Linked DNA regions of Macaca fascicularis. The protein of the gene in region 1 binds, or shares a complex with, the protein of each later gene. Links are inferred from orthologs where the notes say so. Each region holds a gene or a part of one and is shown in the gene's direction. Other genes may lie near its edges.

Region 1 (6,224 bases):
TTTATTTCTATTATTATTACGTGGTAATATATAATGAAATAATTACATAATTCACCAAAATATACAGTCAGTGGGAGCCCTGAGCTTGTCTTCCTGCAACTAGATGGTCCCATCTGGAGGTGGTGGGAGACAGTGACAGATGAGCAGGCATTAGATTCTCATAAGGAGCATGCAACCTAGATCCCTTATGTGTGCAGTTCACAATAGGGTTCACACTCCTATGAGAATCTAATGCCACCACTAATCTGACAGGCGGCCAGCACAGGTAGCAATGTGAGTGATGGGGAGCAGCTATAAATACAGATGAAGCTTTGCTCGCTTGCTTACTTGCCTGCCGCTCACTTCCTGCTATGTTGCCCGGTTCCTAACAGGGTCCACGGCCCAGGGGTTGGGGACCCCTGCTTTAGAGTGGTTGATATTCAAACTCTCCAAACCAGTAATGAAGGTTGACTCATATTTAGTATCCAATTACAAGGTTTTGCATTTTTTGACTGACAAGTTTTTTTTTTTTTAACTTTATTATGAAAATGGGAAAGACAGCTGATTTTATTTAGATGGAATAATCGTTAAGAGACTTTTTCCGCCTTAGATTACTATTGGATTTCTAATTAAAGTGCTGTTTTGGATCCTGGCATTCTGTGTAACCAATTCTTCACAGGTCATGCCACCTCAGAACCTGGAAAGGGCAGATGAAATTTGCATTGCGGGCTCCCCTTTGACTCCCAGAAGGGTGACTGAAGTTCGTGCTGATACTGGAGGTCTTGGAAGGAGTAAGTTTAAAATACTAGGGGAATATTTTGGGGCTTACTATCTGGAAATTTAAATTTTATTTAACCCTATAAGTGAAGTTAATAGGGTATATATTAGAAGAAAATATTCCATGCATTTTTGTGTCACATGAATCACTTAAAAGAAGGGCCTTTAAAGACTATTTAAGAACACAGGAAAATGCATGATATAACAGGTATCTTTTAAAAGGATAGACGATAGACTGCTATATTTATTTAATTTTTTTTTTTCTTTTGAGACAGAGTCTCGCTCTGTCGCTCAAGCTAGAGTGCAGCAGCCCAATCTCAGCTCACTGCAACCTCTGCCTGCCGGGTTCAAGCAATTCTCATGCCTCACCCTCCTGAGTAGATGGGACTACAGGCATGCGCCACCACGCCTAGCTAATTTTTTGTATTTTTGTAGAGACGTTTTGCCATATTGGCCAGGCTGGCCTCGAACTCCTGACTTGAAGCAATCCGCCTGCCTCGGCCTCCCAAAGTGCTAGAATTACAGGCATGAGGCACTGTGCCTGGCCGACTGCTATATATTTAATATGATCCCTATTTTTAAAGTGTATGTTTATTTATGAGCATGCAAAATGGTGGAAATGGAAAAACCAAACTGTTAAGATCATTGTTGGGTGATAGAATTCCTGGTGATTTCTGTAAAATTTTTAAGGCAAATACGTATTACTTTTAAAATCAGGAGAAATAGAAAAGCCTTCTTAAAGATAGAGCTGCATGATCCAGTTAGGTATAGACAAGGCAGTGAGTTAAGACAACTGAGTGTGTTCTACTGTGTTGAGCTGTGCTACCCTAGTTAATGACATTACTGCTGGCCCAAGAAATACAGAAAAGGGCAGTTTTGCTATCCATCTGGTTTATATTTTTTAGGCAGCTGCTTAGAAGATCTGCAAGGTGAAAGGTTTTAGTTTACATATGTGAGAGAGAACTGCTTTTTAAAGAGCAATTCAGTAAATCCAGAGAGTTCTAAATCCTCGGATCCAATTCAAAGAATATCCTTATTTCTAGATCACTTTTATAATGTAAATGGTAAGAACTGGCTACAGAAGAAATACGAGTTTTAAAGTCAGGAATCACTCTAGGCTGGGCATGGTGGCTCATGCCTGTAACCGCTGCACTGTGGGACACCTAGTCGGGAGGATCGCTTGAGCCCAGCAGTTCAAGACCATCCTGGGCAACATAGCAAGATGCCATCTCTACCCCCCCCCAAAAAAAACAAAAATCACTCTAGGTCAGTGTATACTTAATAGACATGGATGATCCTTATGAAAAGTCCTTATTTTTGAAAGATCTGACAGTTGGTCTTTCTTAGTCTATTTTTGTAGAATTTTCCCTTCCCTAATCTACAGATTAGGAAGACTTGACTTTAAACTTCATTTTCTTTGTACTTATCACTTCTCAGTTTTCCTGAGATCTCTTGATATTTTACAAGAAAAAATGATCATAATGTATTCTTTCTGATTCTGCAGCGTTGTATCAAATACAAATCTAGTAAGTTTATTTACTTTTGTTATCATCTGGAAATTGAAATGTTAAGCCACAATTTATTAGTATTTACTCCTATCAATACTTCTTACAAACTTCCTACATATGTTTTAAAATTTAAAAACACACTGATGCACAGCTCTTAGAGGTGGACACAGAAGAAGGAAGAAATGCTTCTCAAAAATTCATACATTATTGTGAATACTTAAAAATAGACTAAGCCTTAATAGGTTGTTCAGATAATGAAGAAGTTTTACAAACAGTGGTGATTGTTGTGGCCACATTGTAAATGTAATTGATACCACTGAATCATACACTTAATCGTACCACTGAATCGTATACTTAAAAATGGATGAAATGGTAAATTTTGTTATATAAATATATATACGTATATATATTTATAAATATATATAAATATATATACATATATATATTTATAAATATATATAAATATATATACGTATATATATTTATAAATATATATAAATATATATACAAATATATTTATAAATATATATACAAATATATATATTTATATATAAAAATATACATATTTATATATATATTTTTTAAACCCACAATTTTAAAAAACTAGCCTGTAATACCAGCACTTTGGGAGGCCAAGGCGGGTGGATCACCTGAGGTCAGGAGTTTGAGAACAGCCTGGCCAACATGGTGAAACCCCATCTCTACTAAAAATACAAAAATTAGCCATGCCTGGTGGCATATGCCTCTAATCCCAGTTACTCAGGAGGCTGAGGCACAAGAATCACTTTAACCCAGGAGGCAGAGGTTGTATTGAGCCAAGATCAGGCCACTGCACTCCAGCCGGGGTGATAGAGTAAGAGTCTATGTCTCAAAAAATAAAAAAACATAGCAGTTTACCCCAAACCATTGAATTGTACAATTTAAGTGGATGAAATTTATGGTATATAAACTGTTTTAAAAAAATAAATTATGCTTAATTGAATCCAAATCATGCATGTCTACCTTGCTTAAGAACATTATTGAGTTTTAATAATTTTTATATGTGGAAAAAGACAAAGATCAAAATTGGTAAAACTGGTGGCGGAATGCTCCTAGATGACATACTACCAATCATGTCCCCTTAAGAAGTAGTGGCTGTATAGTAAAATCACATCTTACATGAGTGGTAGGTGGAAACTAAATATGGCAGAAAATATTATAGAAAAATGTAGTACAGAAAAAAAGGGTAATTCCTTAAATCATGAAGGTTCTTCAGTAGTGGAAGACAGAGTCAGGTCTGATTTGGGAAAGGGGGAGTGGAGAAAGGAACACTGCAAGACAAAAAATTCCATTTTAAAATTTGCTCTCAGTTGTGTTCACTGAACACTAATGAAAACTCACTAATGGATATAGGTAAGATGACTTGTGTAATTCTTGTTTGCTTTTTGAATTATGAAGTATTTCAAACACTGTAGTTATTTTTGAACATAACAGCTTGGATGAAAGTCAGATCTGAGTCTCCTTCAGTGAAATGCTTTGTTTGATTTGTTTTGAACCTAGGCATAACATCTCCAACCACATTATACGATAGATACAGCTCCCCACCAGCCAGCACTACCAGAAGGCGGCTATTTGTTGAGAATGATAGCCCCTCTGATGGAGGGACACCTGGGCGCATGCCCCCACAGCCTCTAGTCAATGCCGTCCCTGTGCAGAATGTATCTGGGGAGCCTGTTTCTGTCACACCGGTTCCTGGACAGACTTTGGTCACCATGGCAACCGCCACTGTCACAGCCAACAATGGGCAAACAGTAACCATTCCTGTGCAAGGTAAGGAAGGCAGAGTTGGATATTGAGTTCCTTCTCTGTGGCGTGTATTGAAAAGTTACCCGAGGTTTGGCTAGAGTGACGTAGGGGACAGAGGAGTGATGGGGAGAGAGGGTTTGGGAGAGGAGAAATTGTAAACCTCTGCCTGGAGAACCTCTTATTATCAACATTTTCTTCATGCCTTTTTTCTCTGTCACAAACTAGGTATTGCCAATGAAAATGGAGGGATAACATTCTTCCCTGTCCAAGTCAATGTTGGGGGGCAGGCACAAGCTGTGACAGGCTCCATCCAGCCCCTCAGTGCTCAGGCCCTGGCTGGAAGTCTGAGCTCTCAACAGATGACAGGAACAACTTTGCAAGTCCCTGGTCAAGTGGCCATTCAACAGATTTCCCCAGGTGGCCAACAGCAGAAGCAAGGCCAGTCTGTAACCAGCAGTAGTAATAGACCCAGGAAAACCAGCTCTTTATCACTTTTCTTTAGAAAGGTAATTTTTCACGTACTCTTACCAGAGCATGAGCTTGGGAAATACAAGTGTTAAACACAGTTTGAAATGTTTTTGTTTATCTCCTAGGTATACCATTTAGCAGCTGTCCGCCTTCGGGATCTCTGTGCCAAACTAGATATTTCAGATGAACTGAGGAAAAAAATCTGGACCTGCTTTGAATTCTCCATAATTCAGTGTCCTGAACTTATGATGGACAGACATCTGGACCAATTATTAATGTGTGCCATTTATGTGATGGCAAAGGTGAGTACCATTTTGGAACTGTAAAGGCAAATATAGGTCTTCATTACTGAGAACATTTTTTAACCGCTTTCTTGAAGTACTATTTACATGCTCTATAATTCATCTATTTAAAATGCACAACTAAAAGGGTCTTAGTATATTCACAGATATGTGCAATACTCACCACAATTTTAAAACAGAATATTCCATTATATAGTTATATGAGAGTATTTTTATCCATTTATTAGGTAATACATATTTTAGTTGTTTCTACTTTTGGCTATATGCATAATACTGCTATTAGCATTTGTGTTTGGGTTTTTGTATAGACATATATTTTCATTTCTCTACGGTATATACCTAGTAATGGATTGCTGGGTCATACATTAACTATGTTTTAACCAGTTAGGGAATTGCCAGACTGTTTTCCAAAGTACTGTACCATTTTACACTTACACAGGCAGTATAATAAAGATTTTAGTTTCTCCACTTTCTCATTAACACTTATTATCTTACTTTGTTTAAATAACTTATTGAGGAGAAATTCACATAACAAAATTAACTGGGGTTTTTTTGTTTTTTTTTGTTTGTTTGCTTTTTGAGATACTGTTTCACTCTTGTCACCCAGGCTGGAGTGCAGTGGTGCATCTCAGCTCTCTGCAACCTCTGTCTCCCAGGTTCAAGCGATTCTCCTGTCGTAGCCTCCTGAGTAGCTGGGATTACAGCCATGTGCCAGCACGCCTGGCTAATTTTTGCATTTTTAGTAGAGATGGGATTTCACCATGTTGGCCAGGCAGGTCTCAAACTCCTGACCTCAGGTGATCCACCCACCTCGGCCTCCCAAAGTGCTGGGATTACAGGCATGAGCCACCGGGCCCAGCCAAATTAACTATTTTAAATTGAACAATTCAGGAGCATTTAGCACATTTACAGTACTAAGTGTAATCAATGGTTGTATACTCACCACTTCTATCTAGTTCCAGAACATTTCTGTACCTGCAAAGTAAAACTCCTTTCCTGTTAAGTAGTTTCTCCCCATTCTACCTCCCACAGCACCTGGCAATCAGCAATTGGCATTCTGGCTGTATGGATTTATCTGTTCTTAATCGTTTATAGAAATGGTACAATAAGTGACCTCTTGTGTATGGCTTCTTTTACTTAGGATAATATTTTCAAGGTTTATCTATGTTGCAGCATGTATCAGTACTTCATTCCTTTTTATGACTGAATGATATTCCATTGTATGGATAGGCACAATTTTTTTCTCCACTCATACAGTGATGGATATTTGGGCTGTTTCCACCTGTTGGCTATAGTGAATAGCGCTGTTGTGAATAGGTATATCATGTACCTGTTTGAGTGCCTGTTTTCAGCCCTTTTGAGTTTATTACTAGCAGTGGAACTGCAGGGTCATATGGTGATACTA
Region 2 (6,891 bases), on another chromosome or scaffold:
CCTCCCGGGTTCAAGTGATTCTCCTGCCTCAACTTCCTGAGTAGCTGGGATTACAGTCGCCTGACACCCGGCTAATTTTTGTATTTTTAGTAGAGAAGGGGTTTTACCATGTTGGTCTGGCTGGTCTCCAACTCCTGACCTCAGGTGATCCACCCACCTTGGCCTCCCAAAGTGCTGGGATTACAGGCAGGAGCTACAGTGCCTGGCCTCTAGGCTACTTTTTATCAAACTTTTAATCAAAGTTTCATGTTACAACTCCTAGTTGGCTGAGGATTACTCTATTTGTTCTTTTCTAGGTCACTTCAGAAGTTTCTCCAAATGAATCAGAAAATACATAGTGTCTGTTTCTGAAATAAAGTACAAGGAAAGAGAGATTCTTCTCCTTGATGGAAAAGAACAAAATACTTTCTTAAGGTTCTCAATGACTCATTGTGATGGGAGGGGAAGAGGAGGCAAAGGAAAAAAACCAATTTCAGTAAAAGATTTCAAGAAGTTGGTAAGAAAAATATAGGGTGGAAACTTTGTTTTCCTGCTACTAAAAAAAGATACTAGAACAGAACAAGGATCACAGCAAGAAATATGAGTGAGGCCAGACCATCTGACAAACCCTTCAAACTCATCCTTTCTACCGTCCCCATTAAATAGCATATTTAAACGTGAATCTTTGCTGACTCTGCCAAGAATCTTGAAAATGCCCAAGTTTCTGTACTAGAACTCACGGAAACCTGGTGAATACTAATATTACCTAAAAGCGCAGCAATACAGAGGAAATTCTCAGACTGGATGTAATGAATAAGAAGGGCACTGTTGTTTCTTGCTGATTGTTTCTTGCCTGCAGTAAATCTTGCCTCATACTCTAAATCCTTGGTAGGCCATGAACAGGGGAAAGACTATAGAGTTGGAGATTACAGGCCTCAGGCATGCAACTCCTGTAGCTTTACCATTTCTCCTTAGGTTGGCTTCAGAAAGGACTCAATCCCCCAAGTGCAGAGATGAGGGTGTGTGGCACTAGAAGAGCTGATTTGGGGTGGGAACTTAGACTTCTTGTCTTACCTGGCTCCCACTTTCTATCACCTGTTTTGAAAATGTTTAGTACCTTGAACGTACATGGAACATACTGGTAGCGTTAACTGTGTGCCCTTATCTACCCTATGTACATGTGCCCTATCTATGTAAACTGTTTAACTTGGCTGAAAGTTTCACTGAAAGTTTTGGCAAGAAAGGGGACAGCCAGTCTATGGAAAATACAAAGAGCCACACTTAGGGAAAATAATTCGGTAAATGGCTGCCTTTGGTGAAAATCTAGAGTCCACTTCTAGAAGAAAATTCAAAGTTCATACACTGACCCTCGCCCCTCACGTTCCCCCTCCCTCTTACCTCGGATCACCACGGACAGTGAAGTAGGGTGGGGGAAGGGAGCAATGGCAACGTGGACACTCAAGGCAGGGGACAGAATAACCAAAAAGAGTAGTTTCTGGGGGATAGAGAGAACGCTGGTGCAGAGGTGAAAGGGAAAGACGGTGGGCGGATGGAGAGATGAGGGCAAGAGACTGACAGCAGGGAGCGGGCAGAGCTGGAGAAGGAGAGTGGGCGAGAGCCAGAAAAGAGGAGGCTTAGGAGTAAAAGGGTAGAGGGCCAAGGGTAACAGCCCAGGGTTGGATCCGGGACGAGGGAGGGTATGAAGTGAGGGCTGGGCATGGGACAGGGCCCACAGGTTAGGTAGGAGGTCCGGCCAAAAAGGGGTTGGGCCAAGAAGGTGGTCCCGCCCGAGGACGGCTCAGGGAGTGGACGGAAAGGATCCAATTCCTAGCTTCATGGTGCCTTGGCGCCACCCTCACTCGCCTGCAGGATCCTGGCTCGCACTACCGCCGCCGCCGCCGCCACTACCGCCGCCATGGCTCTCGGCCGCCCTAGCTCCGCAACCCGCTCCTCTACAGCTCAGACGCACTACAGCTGCCAGGCCTCGCCCTCCATCCTGCCGGGCTTCCTCATTGGTGGGGAGGACTATTTTCTTCAGCCAATCACTCGTCCTAACACCTGATTCCTCCTCTCACACCCCAGTCCTGGGGATAAGTGATTGGTCAGGAGCGAAAATGCTCGCACCCTCTCCTACCTCAGCCAATGCCGTTGGCGGAGGTAGAGAAGACGCCCCCGACTTGGACACTCCATACTGAGCACACGGAGGAGACGCCCCCCTAACCTGGAACTCCGATTGGCCAAGGACGCAACCGAGGCCCCACCCCTTCACTGAGCAAAGTAAATAAGACCCTCCAAGAATTTTGCTGTCGCTCCACCTCAACAACTGCATAAGGGGCGTGGCTATGATGAGGGGAGGGGCTGGGCGAAGATTGCCCTATGAGGCGAGGGAATGAGACGTGGCTGCGAGTTGGGGATAGGGTTTCTCTTTGGGGGCGTGGCTTATGGATCCTCGTTTTCCCGCCGACGGTTGGCCACGTCACGTGACATGGGTTGGAAGATGGCGTCTCCCACAGACGGTAAGAGCCGGCTTAGGGATGTTTGCCTGCAGCCTCCTTCTTTGCTGTATGGGGAACATCCACTCTGTCTCTGCCCCTCGAACATACATTTCTTTCTTGGGCTCTTCTCATTTCCCTTTTGTTTTTTTTCTTGCGATCCATCGCCGTCTTCAGCTCACCGGTTCTTCGCAGCAGCTTCAGAGGTGCCCAGTTTCCCTGCTCTGTACCAGGCGTGTGGAGGAGGGCACTAGGGAGGGACTCATTCTGGGTAAAAGGACAGGGGTCGCCCTGGCCCTTCCTTATCTCTATTTGGGCGAGGCTGAGGGTAGAGGAGGAGATGTTACTGGAGGACGTGCCTTACTGTAGTTTTCTCCTTGGGGTATCCCATTGAAAGGATCAGTTCTCTTCTGATTGAGCGCACAGATGGAACGATTCTCAAACCCTCGCAGGGGCTGCTGGCTGACCCCATCTCGATAGTGAACCGCAAGAGAAACATGATCTCTCTCCTGTCTCCTCAGTTTGGGACCATTGCCGTGGCAGCAAGAGAAGCGGGGGACGTTCTCGGCCCCTCGCCGAGAGAGTCGCGAGGAGAATGAGTATTGAGCTTTTAAGTGTTGTCTTGCACAGGTCGCAACCGCTCTTTCATCTGCTTTACGTGTTGTTTCTTAAGGCTGAGTGAATGAACGATTTCTGTTTATATGTTGTGTAAAATGCAAGTCATCTCAAGTAACAAGTTGTTTTGGTATACTCCCATGCTTTTGCTTTTGGTTCTGCTTTAGAGAGGGTCTTGCAGTCATTTTTAAACTCATTTTTAGTTCTACCATCCGCATCCCAACTATATATCGATTTTATTGATATATAGGTTTCCCTCCCTTAGACAAACAGATTTTGTATTTGGAAGGAATCTTGGAAGTTCATTGCAGGAATGAAGAAATTGAAGCCAAGGTGAGCTGTATTGAGTACCTACTACATGAAAGGCATAATGCTAGGTGCTTTGGGAGACCAAAAGATGACTCAAACATACACACTTTTTTTTTTTTTTTTTTTTCCAGTTTCAGTTCTCTTTTTAGATGTCACCTCCCAAAGAGTCTTTCTTAGAACACAGTATCTGGAGTTGCCCTTCCCCACCATTATTCATTGCCTCAGTATCTTCCTTGTCAGCATAGTTACTATGTTAACTTTGCCCCTTGTACGCTAGATTATAAATTACAAGTTTGTCTTGTTCATAGCTGGATCCCAGGTTTAGCACAGTGCCTGACGAACAGTAGGTCTTTAATTAACATGTATTGAAAGATTGATTAGATATGTGCAGAAATAATATATTACTTGATCTTAAGTTTTACGTTTAACCGAGTCTTAAATTTTGTGAGCACAGGTACATACTGTGTTAGAAATTATGGCCGGGCGTGGTGGTTCACACTTCTAATCCCAGCACTTTGGGAGGCTGAGGCAGGCAGATTGCCTGAGCTCAGGAGTTGAAGACGAGCCTAGACAACATGGTGAAACCCCATCTCTACAAAAAAATACAAAAATTATCTGGGTGTGGTGCCGTGCACCTGTAGTCCCAGCTACTTGGGGGGCTAAGGCAAGAGAATCACTTGAGCCTGGGGGTGGAGGCTGCAGTGAACCATGTTCATGTCACTGCACTCCAGTCTGAGTGACAAAGCGAGACCCCGTCTCAAAAAAAAAAGAAGGAAAAACAAGAAATTTGGATGTTTGGAGTCAAAAGAGATTCTCCTTCCTGGGTGCTCTCTTGCAAAAATGTCCTTCTCTCGCCAGAAAGAAAGGCATTTAAAAAGGGAATAGGGAGTTATTGTTAATGGGTACCAAATTTCAGTTTGGGAAGGTGAAAATGTTCTGGAAATGAATGTGATGATTGCACAATTAATGTACTTAATACCACTGAACTCTATACTTAAAAGTTATTAAAATGGTAAAATTTATGTATATTTCACCACAATTTTTTTAAAAAGCCAAGTGATAGAAATAGAGGTAATTGTTATTAAATTTTTTAGTTTATTTTAAAATTGTTTTTACAAATTTTGGGGATTTTAGAGATGTGTTCCTTGAGTTTGGTTTTTTTTTTCCTTGCCTTCTCTCAATTTAGTTTCCTTTCTTTGGCCAGGAAGAGTATTAAAAATGTTAAATTTTTTTCCTTTGGTCTTCTAGCCATCCCTATGGTCACTTTATTTGCACTCTTGATTTTTAAAAGTCTTCATTCTCATCTCTTACAAAGTTTTACTCCTCTCCACCTAATGTTTTCTTTTAATCTGAAAAAATCAAGTCAAGCACTTTGAACTTAAATTCAACGTCTCAGTAAGTATCTCATTCCAAAATATTCCATGGCCTAGCTCTCTCACTTCTATTTTTAGTGTTCCACCTGTCACTGTCTTTAAAATTTAATTCAGATAACATTGACTTGAAAATGTTTGTCATTTACTCTTTTGTCTTTTTCGTGATAAATTTGCTGGAGCTTCTTTGAAAAGGAGAAAACTGAAATTCAAATACAGCCATCTAATTACTTAATTTATGAGAGTAAGACTCACAGCAGAGTCTGAGTTCTATCCCAGACTGTGGTATCATAAGGTCACCCGTGTAGGTTATTAGATTGTACCCCCAATAATTTTTTTAAAAATTTTCTTTTAGAGACAGGGTCTCTCTCACTCTATTGCCCATGCTGAAATGCAGTGGTATGATTATAGCTCACTGCACCCTCAAAGGCTCAAGCTATCCTCCCGTCTCAACCTCCCAAGTAGCTGGTACTATAGGCTCACACCACCATGCCCAGCTAATTTATTGTTATTATTATTTATTTTGTTTTGAGACGGAGTCTCACTCTGTCACCCAGGCTGGAGTGCCATGGCACGATCTCGGGTCACTGCAATCCCTGCCTCCTGGGTTCAAGTAATTCTCATGCCTCAGCCTCTCCAGTAGCTGGGATAACAGGCACACACCACCACACCTGGCTAATTTTTGTATTTTTAGTAGAGACAGGGTTTCACCATATTGCCCAGGCTGGTCTCAAACTCTTGACCTCAGGTGATCCACTCACCTCAGCCTCCCAAAGTGCTAAGATTACAGACGTGAGCCACCGTGCCCTGCCTTATTATTTTTTGTAGAGATAAAGTCTCACTATGTTGCCCAGGCTGGTCTCAAACTCCTGGGCTCAGACAGTCTTCCTGCCTCAGCTTCCCAAAGCACTGGGATTCCAGACACGAGCCACCGCACCTGGCCCAATAACTTTATTTTTGTTATGGTTGAACATTCCTCAGAAATTGGTAACAAAGAGAAGCTAATTTTTAATGCTTTAGTTAAGGCAGTGTATTAGTTGAGTTCTTTACAATTAAAATGCCATTGGAAATTCCTTTGGGATATTTGGCAAAACAAATTCAGTTTAGAGAAAAGTACATGTTGAAAAATTTTGTACATATGTGTATTTTCTGGGGAGTGAGTTCATTTTTTTTCCCAGATTTCCAAAGATGTGGCTTACCCAGAAAATGTTAAGAACCGCTGTTTATAGCATTAAATGAACTAGTTATGCAACTGGTTAGCATACTGAGCATACAATAAAAACTCAACGAATGTTAATATTGAGTACTACTCTGTGCAAGGGAAGAGTGGAAGAGAAATGATGTCAAAGAATTAGGCAGAGGCTGAGTAAGATTTTATAGAATATGGTAGATACACATTCACAGATTTAACTGGGAGGAACTTTAAGCTGCAGAGTGACACGAACTGATTGACATTTTAAAAAATCATTTCTGGCCTCTTTATAGAGAATAGATTTGGGGACGTGAAGGGGAAAGGGTAAGAATGGGAGCAGAGAGATCTGTTAAGAGGCTGTTGAAGTAGTCCAAGAGGGAAGTGGTGGTTCCTCGGGTTATTCGATTTCAGGATGTATTTTGAAGGTAGAAATGACTAGATTTACTCATGGATTGGTTATGGAAGGGTGAAGGAAAAGAATGCATGAAGGATGACATCTGGGTTTTCGATTTGAGAAGTAGGGTTTATGGTAGTGCTATTTCTTGAGATGGGAGAAGATTGGGGGAATATGGTTTTGAAGATAATTAGGTTTAAGTGGGAATTTTTTTTTTTTTTTTTTTTTTTTGAGACAAGGTGTGGCTCTTATACCCAGGCTGGAGTGCAGTGGTGTGATCTTAGCTCACTGCAGCCACCACCTCTGGGCTCAAGCCATCCTGCCACCTCAGCCTCCCAAGTAGCTGGGACTACAGGCTGACACCACCACACCTGGCTAATTTTTTGCTTTTTGTAGAGATGGGGTTTCGCCATGTTGGCCAGGCTGGTCTCAAACTCAAGCAATCCACCCATCTCGGCCTCCCAAAGTGCTGGGATTACAGGCGTGCACCACTGCATCTGACCTTAAGCGGTTTTTTCATATGTAAATAGAGAGGGATTC

The links.
Region 2: RBL2 (region 1) and LIN52 share a complex: the UniProt entries of both Homo sapiens proteins name them as parts of the DREAM complex. The link is inferred for Macaca fascicularis from reciprocal best matches to the Homo sapiens genes RBL2 and LIN52.

What each region holds. Positions count from the first base shown.
Region 1 is NC_088394.1:49,456,333-49,462,556, forward strand, and holds part of RBL2 (retinoblastoma-like protein 2), read left to right. Parts: intron 1-658; coding exon 659-770; intron 771-3,803; coding exon 3,804-4,073; intron 4,074-4,274; coding exon 4,275-4,555; intron 4,556-4,642; coding exon 4,643-4,819; intron 4,820-6,224. UniProt on the Homo sapiens protein: Key regulator of entry into cell division. Directly involved in heterochromatin formation by maintaining overall chromatin structure and, in particular, that of constitutive heterochromatin by stabilizing histone methylation.
Region 2 is NC_088381.1:142,021,519-142,028,409, forward strand, and holds the start of LIN52 (protein lin-52 homolog), read left to right. Parts: upstream 1-2,457; 5' UTR 2,458-2,464; coding exon 2,465-2,495; intron 2,496-6,891. Other genes in the region: ALDH6A1 (methylmalonate-semialdehyde/malonate-semialdehyde dehydrogenase [acylating], mitochondrial), read right to left, coding at 1,843-1,896.